2 linked regions of the Macaca fascicularis genome follow. The protein of the gene in region 2 purifies or fractionates together with the protein of the main gene of each other region. This does not show direct contact. Links are inferred from orthologs where the notes say so. Each region holds a gene or a part of one and is shown on either strand. Other genes may lie near its edges.

Region 1 (3,282 bases), on a different chromosome or scaffold from region 2:
TAGAACTTATCCACTTATATCCCCACTGCTACTACATTAGTTTAGGGCTACATTCTCTTGAAAAGTACAGCGTCCTTACTTCCGGCCAATCCCCAAATCATCTTCCAGAGTAAAATGCAAATCCCATCAGGCCACTTGGATGAAAACCCTTCAAGGATTACTGGATAGAGTTCAGGCTTTTTATTTTCTTCCCCCAATCATAGCTCACAAACCTTCGTTGCTATTTGTTCCTAAGTAACAAATCATTTTTCCTCCTCCCTCCCCAAACCCCAAGGAACTCTCACTCTTGCTCAAGCTGTTCTGTCCCCTTAATACTACCCCTGATACAAACTGCCTGGTTAATTTCCAGAATTCTTACAAGATTCAGCTCAGAAGTCACCTTCTCTCGTGAATGTTTTGATTCCCTGAGGCTACTTCATTTTGCTATGGCTGAAAAATCCTAGATTTTCTAAACAAAACCTGTTTGAATCTTGGTTCTGATATGGACTGGGAGAGAGACTGGGTCAAGCAAGTTTATCTCCCTGAGGCTGTTTCCTCGTCTGTTAAGTGGGAATATTACCTGCCTTTCATAATCACCAGGGAATAAAGTGGAATAATGTTGATAAGAGTACTTGGCACCTGGAAGTAGGTGGCAGATGTTAATGCCCTTCCTCCCTTGCACTGCGACCCCTGTGTCTACCTCTAGTATTGTAACGACCACATAGTATTGAAATAGCCACTTTACTTGTCTGGCTTCCTTTCCAAGACCGTTGGTGCCTAGAGGACTAGAATCGTGTTCTATTTAACTTTGTATTCCCAGGTCCTAGCTCAGGAGTTGGCAAATAAGAATTAAATATCTGCTACATTGAAAATCTCACGCCTTTCACTCGTTGTGATTTTTGCATACGTTGTCGACTTAGGCTGAAACCCCTCCTCCTTCTACAGCAGCACTGTGGGCCGCCCCACTGCTGCCCCCACCTCTCGGGGCAGTTGGTGGAGAAGGGCGGGGGGCTTTCCAAATCCACTATGAATCCTTACAAGGCTGAATAAGGGAACTTGAAAGGATGCAGACAGGCAGGCAATCCGCAGTCGAGGGATGTAGGGCCCATAAACCTCGAAGCAAGGTCTTGAGCGTCAGACAGAATGAGGTGTCCCAGAGCGGCGGAAGAGTCCCGGACGCACGCTGCTTCTAGTCTCGACGGAATCGCCACCGAGCACCGCAGAGGCTAGGGCGGAATGGCGACGGCAGCGCAGTTCGCCAAGGCTTGGTCTCCGCCCTTCAGCCTATTTCCTCTAACCCGCAGACCCACTACCAGAGGAGGCGGGGAGCGGGCTGGAGAGCACTAACAGTGACAGGCGGGGCGAGTCGAGGGCGCGTGACGTCACCCCGGGGTGTGCGCGGCGCGAGCGGAAGCGGAAGCGGCTCTGTTCGCCGCCTCTCCCACCGGCCCGATGAGCTGCAGCGGCTCCGGCGCGGACCCCGAGGCGGCGCCGGCTTCCGCCGCCTCGGCCCCGGGCCCGGCACCCCCGGTCTCGGCTCCCGCAGCGCTGCCCGCCAGCACCGCTGCGGAGAACAAGGCCAGCCCCGCGGGGACAGCAGGGGGGCCTGGGGCTGGAGCAGCTGCTGGGGGCACGGGACCCTTGGCGGCGCGGGCCGGGGAGCCAGCTGAGCGGCGTGGGGCGGGTGAGGGCCTGACGGGTGAGGGCGAGGGAAGCGTCTGGGACTGGGCCCAGCGGCGGGTGAGGGCAGCGGGTATAGACAGACCTCGCTGGGGCCCTGCGCCTCCCACCTCTGTGTCTCATTTTGCTGGTTCTCCTCCAGCTCCGGTGTCGGCGGGTGGCGCGGCGCCCCCAGAAGGGGCCATGTCTAACGGGATTTACGTACTGCCGAGCGCGGCCAACGGAGACGTGAAGCCGGTGGTGTCCAGCACGCCGTTGGTGGACTTCTTGATGCAGCTGGAGGATTACACGCCTACGGTGGGCTTCCGCCCGAACAAGGCCACCTAGCCTGCTGTCACAACTTTCAGCCACATCTCCGTGCTTTTCAGCACCCTCTGATGTTTGCTTCCGTAGTCGCTCTTGTTTTTGCCCTCTGCTCACCCAAATCGTGAGCTTCCTGATAACCAGGTCTATCCGACATTTCCCTCACCCTCATCCCACTCTGCTGACAGTTCTCTTAATTGATTTCTTAGATCCCAGATGCAGTGACTGGTTACTACCTGAACCGTGCTGGCTTTGAGGCCTCAGACCCACGCATGTGAGTAAACCCAGGGCAGGTTAGTTTTGGGTGCTTGTGCAGTGTGTTGTCCATCTCCTTCTCATCTAAGTTTTTTCTCTCTAGAATTCGGCTCATCTCCCTAGCTGCCCAGAAATTCATCTCAGATATTGCCAATGATGCCCTACAGCACTGCAAAATGAAGGGCACAGCCTCCGGCAGCTCCCGGAGCAAGAGCAAGGTGTGAGGGGAGGCTCATTGAATCACTAATTACCTTCCACAACAGTGGAAGCTTATCCTGCCACCCCTTTGGGGAAACTGAATCCTAGGGGAGGTGTAAAACTTACTCAGGGTCACCCATCTGGGATTGAAGTGTGGGATTCCTGTGCTCAGTTGGTGCTCTTCCCTCTTCCCTCAGGACCGCAAGTATACTTTAACCATGGAGGACTTGACCCCTGCCCTCAGCGAGTATGGCATCAATGTGAAGAAGCCGCACTACTTCACCTGAGCCACCCAACCTAAATGTACTTGTCTGTCCCCATGTCCCCACACCAGCCTGTTTTCATAATAAACTTTATTGTGACAGGCGGGGCTGATCCCTCCCATGTTGGGAGACACCATGTGGCAAGTGACAAAGCTCTGAGCCCGCCCCTTTTGGGGCCACAGTGGTAGGGATGGGGGAAGGGGATGGACCCCATGGCTGGGGTAGTACCATGACTGGAGGCAGGGGAGGCAACCAGAGGTCTGCTGCTTTGGGGAAGTACATTCCCCCAACCATGTCCTGACACCTCTGGAGTTCAGGCAAGGGCCTTCCGGTCCTACTTGTCCTGCATCTTCTCCAGGATAGGCACAATCATGTCAAATTTGGGTCGCTTTGCAGGGTCTTCGTTCATGCAGATCTTCATGAGCTTACACACATGAGGGGAAATACCTGGTGGGATGGTAGGCCGAAGGCCTTCCAATGCCACCTGTGAATACAAGAAAAAACTGAGCCTCACAATTTGAGTCTGTCATGTAGAGAGAAGCCACTGGCCCCTGGGACAGGATAACTGTATATCCGAACAAATATGGGAGGAGCCCAGGCCCAC
Region 2 (4,003 bases):
GATCCCTTGAGCCTAGGAGTTTGGGAATAGGGAGCTACAATGGCACCACTGTACTCCAGCCTGGGTGACACAGTAAGACCTTGTTTCTAAAAAAAACATAAATAGGTTGGGCGCAGTGGCTCACACCTGTAATCCCAGCACTTTGGGAGGCCAAGGCCGGCGGATCAACTAAGGTCAGGAGCTCAAGACCAGCCTGGCCAACATGGTGAAACCCTGTCTCTACTAAAAATACAAAATTAATCAGGTGTGGTGGCACATGCCTGTAATCACAGCTACTCAGAAGGCTGAGGCAGGAGAATTGCTTGAAACCGGAAGGCAGAGGTTGTGATGAGCCGAGATTGTGCCACTGCACTCCAGCCTGGACAACAAAGAGCAAAACTCTGTCTCAAAAAAAAAAAAAAAAAAAAATTAGCCAGGCATGGTGGTGCACGCTTGTAATCCCAGCTACAACCGGGAAGCAGAGGTTGCAGTGAGCCAACATTGCACCACTACACTCCGGCCTGGGTGACAGAGCAAGACTCCATCCCATAAATAAATAAATAAATACAATCTATATTCATCAATTGGTTAAAGAGACATTAAGAAGACAATTTTTTTCCTTCATGCCTCTGTATTGCAACTTATGCCAGTGTCTCTCATTTAAACCTTACAGCAATCCTATAAAATAGATAACAGAATGGTACGTATAGTAAGGAAATTGAAGTTCAGATAGGTTATGCTAGGTAACTCAGGAAAAATAGGTAGTTGAGCTGGGGCTGCAAGGCTGCAGGTTCTAAAATCTATGCTCTTCCTCTCAATTCCAAGTTTTGTCAGGACTTCAGCATATTCAAGAGTAAAAGAGATCATGGAAGTGGAAGCTGCCAAACCACCATTAGGCTATTATGACAACACTCAAAGTATCACCAGTAAAATGATGACTGAGGCAACTGAAAAACAAAGCTAGGGAAATGTGATGGTTAACTTCATGCGTCAACCTGATTGGGCTAGGGGATGCCCAGATAGCTGGTGAAATACTTTTGAGTGTGTTTGTGAGTTTCCGGAGGGTTTGCTTTCCTGGGCTTCCAGCTTGCAGAAGGCAAATCTTGGGACTTCTCAGCCTCTGTAATTGTGTGACCCAATCCATCACAATAAATCTCTTTCAATATAGCTATACAGTTGACCCTTGAACAATACAGGTTTTAATTGTGCAGGTCCACTTATATGTGGATTTTCTTCCACCTTTAGGACTTTTTTGAAACAGGGTCTTGCTCTGTCACCCAGGCTAGAGTGCAGTGGCACGATCTTGGCTCACTGCAGCCTCCACCTCCTGGGTTTAAGCAATTATTGTACCTCAGCCTCCCAAGTAGCTGGGATTACAGGTGCGCACCACCAAGCCCGGCTAATTTTTTTTTTTTTTTTTTTAAGAAGAGACTGGATTTCACCACGTTGCCCAGGCTGGTCTCAAACCCCTGAGCCCAGGCAATCTGCCTGCCTCAGCCTCCCAAAGTGCTAGGATTACAGGTGTGAGCCACCACGCCTGGCTGGCATTTACATTTAAAATGTGAAACTGGGATTGTGGTGGCTCATGCCTGTAATTCCAGCATTTGGGGAGGCTTTGGTTAGGAAGACTGCTTAAGCCCAGGAGTTCAAGGCTGCAAGAGACTGCAGTGAGCTGTGATAGCACCACTGTTCTCCAGTCTGAGCAACAGAGAACCTGTCTCTAAGAAAAAAAAAAAAAGTGAGATGCCTAGGTTAAAATCAGCAGAGGAGAAGCCAGAGTGAGGAGAGGCAAAGGAAGAGAACGTTCAGCAAGCCAAATGAAAACAGTGTTTCAAGAAAGTGCAGCGATCAACAGCACCAGATGCTGATACAGGACTGACACCTAACTTAACAATGAATTTGGCCATCTAGAGATCACTGGTGGCTTTGACAAGAAGCCGGTTTAGTGGAGTGGTGGAGACCAAAGCCTGACTAGAGGCTCAAGGTTCAAGACTTGAAGGAGAAAAGGCACTAATGAGGGTAGACTGAGGCCTCTGGCTGCAAACCGGAGGCGAGGAGGAGGTAACTGGAGGACAGCGAGGGTGAAGGGGGCTGCTTTGTTGTTCCTAAGATGGGCATTTTTTGGCCAGGCACGGGGGCTTATGCCTATACTCCCCACACTTTGGAAGGCCGAGGCGAGAGGTTGAGCCAACGAGTTCGAGACCAGCCTGGGCAAATTACGAGCTGTTAGTGTATCTTCAAAAAAAAAAAAAAGATAATTTTTGTGCAAATAATAAAATAAATGCTGGAGTTCGGGGCCCATCTTCTGTCCGCATCTTCGTGACCCGGGCCATGCACCCGACCTGGGGGCTGCCTCCCTGCCAAGCCCGGCGTACTGCTGTCTCCCACCCTAGCCCGGGATGGAAGCGCGCACGCGCAGACCTCGAACGGCTGGGCGCAGGGCCCGCCCCACCGTCGAGTCCCGCCCCTCCCGCCCCCCAGCCCCGCCCCTCCCGCCCCCCTCCCGCTCAGAGCACGTACGCACCGTCCCTAGAGCGCCGCCTGAAGGAGGACGGGAGACTGGGCGCTGAGGGAGGGTTTAGCCCTTCGCTCCCGCGCTTCGCCGGAGGTCTCAGGCCACGGCCCGTCCCCACCTACCGAGTCTCGCAGAAAACAAGGTCTTCGGGCTGGAAACTGCGACGAGGGAAGCTGGCGCGTTCCTTGAACGCTTTTTCGGAGTCTGCGGATGATCACGGACCTGCGTTCGAAGATTGGCGGCACGTCGAGAGCCGCACACGTTTTTTTTTTTTCCTTTTATGAGCGCAGTCGCGCGCGGAGGACCTTGAACGCATGCGCAGTCGTTCCTCTGTGACGTGACCCGCTGCCGGGTGGGAAATGTAGTTTTTACTTGGCGGAACCCTAATTTAACCAACCAAAGTGCTTGTGCGTTTTCAGCGTTTTCTCCCATTCCCCCAGACTATTTAAAACAAAATGCAAAAAAAAAAAAAAACAAAAAAAACCCAACTTGAAAACGAAGAGATTGCTGCTTGCTGGAGAGGAGTGGGTGCAGGTAATACAAAAACCGTACTTTCTGCGCAATTTTGTTGTGAACCTAAAAATGCCCTAAAAACTAAAGTCAATAAAGTCTATTGTTAAAAAATTAATTAAAAACAGGCCGGGCGCGGTGGCTCACGCCTGTAATCCCAACACTTTGGGAGGCTGAGGCGGGCGGATCACCTGAGTTAAGGACTTCGAGACCAGCCTGACCCACATGGTGAAACCCTGTCTCTACTAAAAAATACAGAAATTAGCCGGGCGTGGTGGTGGGTGCCTGCAATCCCAGCTACTTGGGAGGCTGAGGCTGGAGAATCGCTTGAATCCAGGAGGCGGAGGTTGTAGTGACCGGAGATTGCGCCATTGCACTCCAGCCTGGGTATCAAGAGGGAAACTCTACATCTCAAAAAAAAACAAAACAAAAAAAAAAAAAAACAAGCAGACCTTTAGATCCAGAAATAGCACTTTTAGGGGGTCTTCTCAGGAAAGTATTAAGGATATGGACGTGCAATGGACGCATAGCCTCAGTGGTATTTATCGAAATCCATCTTGGTATCGTATAATTTCTTACATAACCCTACAAATGTCTGTAATTATTTGTAGATTATTTGATAAACTTGCAAGTCCTATGAGATTAGGATCATCTTGTGTTCACCTGTGTATTCCTAGTACCTAGCACAGTGCCTAGCCGTCACGTTTCTTTTTCTTTTTTTTCTCTATAAGACAGGGTCTCGCTCTGTTGTCCAGGTCTCGCTCTGTTGTCCAGGTCTCGCTCTGTTGTCCAGGTTGGAGTGCAGTGGTGCTATCAGGGCTTCTGAGTAGCTAGGACTACAAGCGCACACCAGCACATTCTGCTGATTTTTAAATTTTTTTGGTAGAGATGGGGGTCTTGCTATGTTGCCTAGGCTGGTCTTGAGTTCCTGGGCTCAAGCGATCCTCCTGCCTCAGCCTCCCAAAGTTGTGGGATTACAGGCATGAACCACCATGCTCA

Evidence for each region.
Region 1: the proteins of SGF29 (region 2) and TAF10 purify together in Homo sapiens (affinity purification with mass spectrometry; 3 studies listed by BioGRID and IntAct, with this or other methods). This does not show direct contact. The link is inferred for Macaca fascicularis from reciprocal best matches to the Homo sapiens genes SGF29 and TAF10.

What each region holds. Positions count from the first base shown.
Region 1 is NC_088388.1:59,466,798-59,470,079, forward strand, and holds TAF10 (transcription initiation factor TFIID subunit 10), read left to right. Parts: upstream 1-1,406; 5' UTR 1,407-1,431; coding exon 1,432-1,678; intron 1,679-1,801; coding exon 1,802-1,956; intron 1,957-2,171; coding exon 2,172-2,236; intron 2,237-2,320; coding exon 2,321-2,435; intron 2,436-2,612; coding exon 2,613-2,702; 3' UTR 2,703-2,782; downstream 2,783-3,282. Other genes in the region: scaffold protein ILK, read right to left, coding at 3,013-3,162. UniProt on the Homo sapiens protein: The TFIID basal transcription factor complex plays a major role in the initiation of RNA polymerase II (Pol II)-dependent transcription.
Region 2 is NC_088394.1:27,811,706-27,815,708, reverse strand, and holds the start of SGF29 (SAGA-associated factor 29), read right to left. Parts: upstream 2,801-4,003; 5' UTR 2,504-2,800; intron 1-2,503. UniProt on the Homo sapiens protein: Chromatin reader component of some histone acetyltransferase (HAT) SAGA-type complexes like the TFTC-HAT, ATAC or STAGA complexes.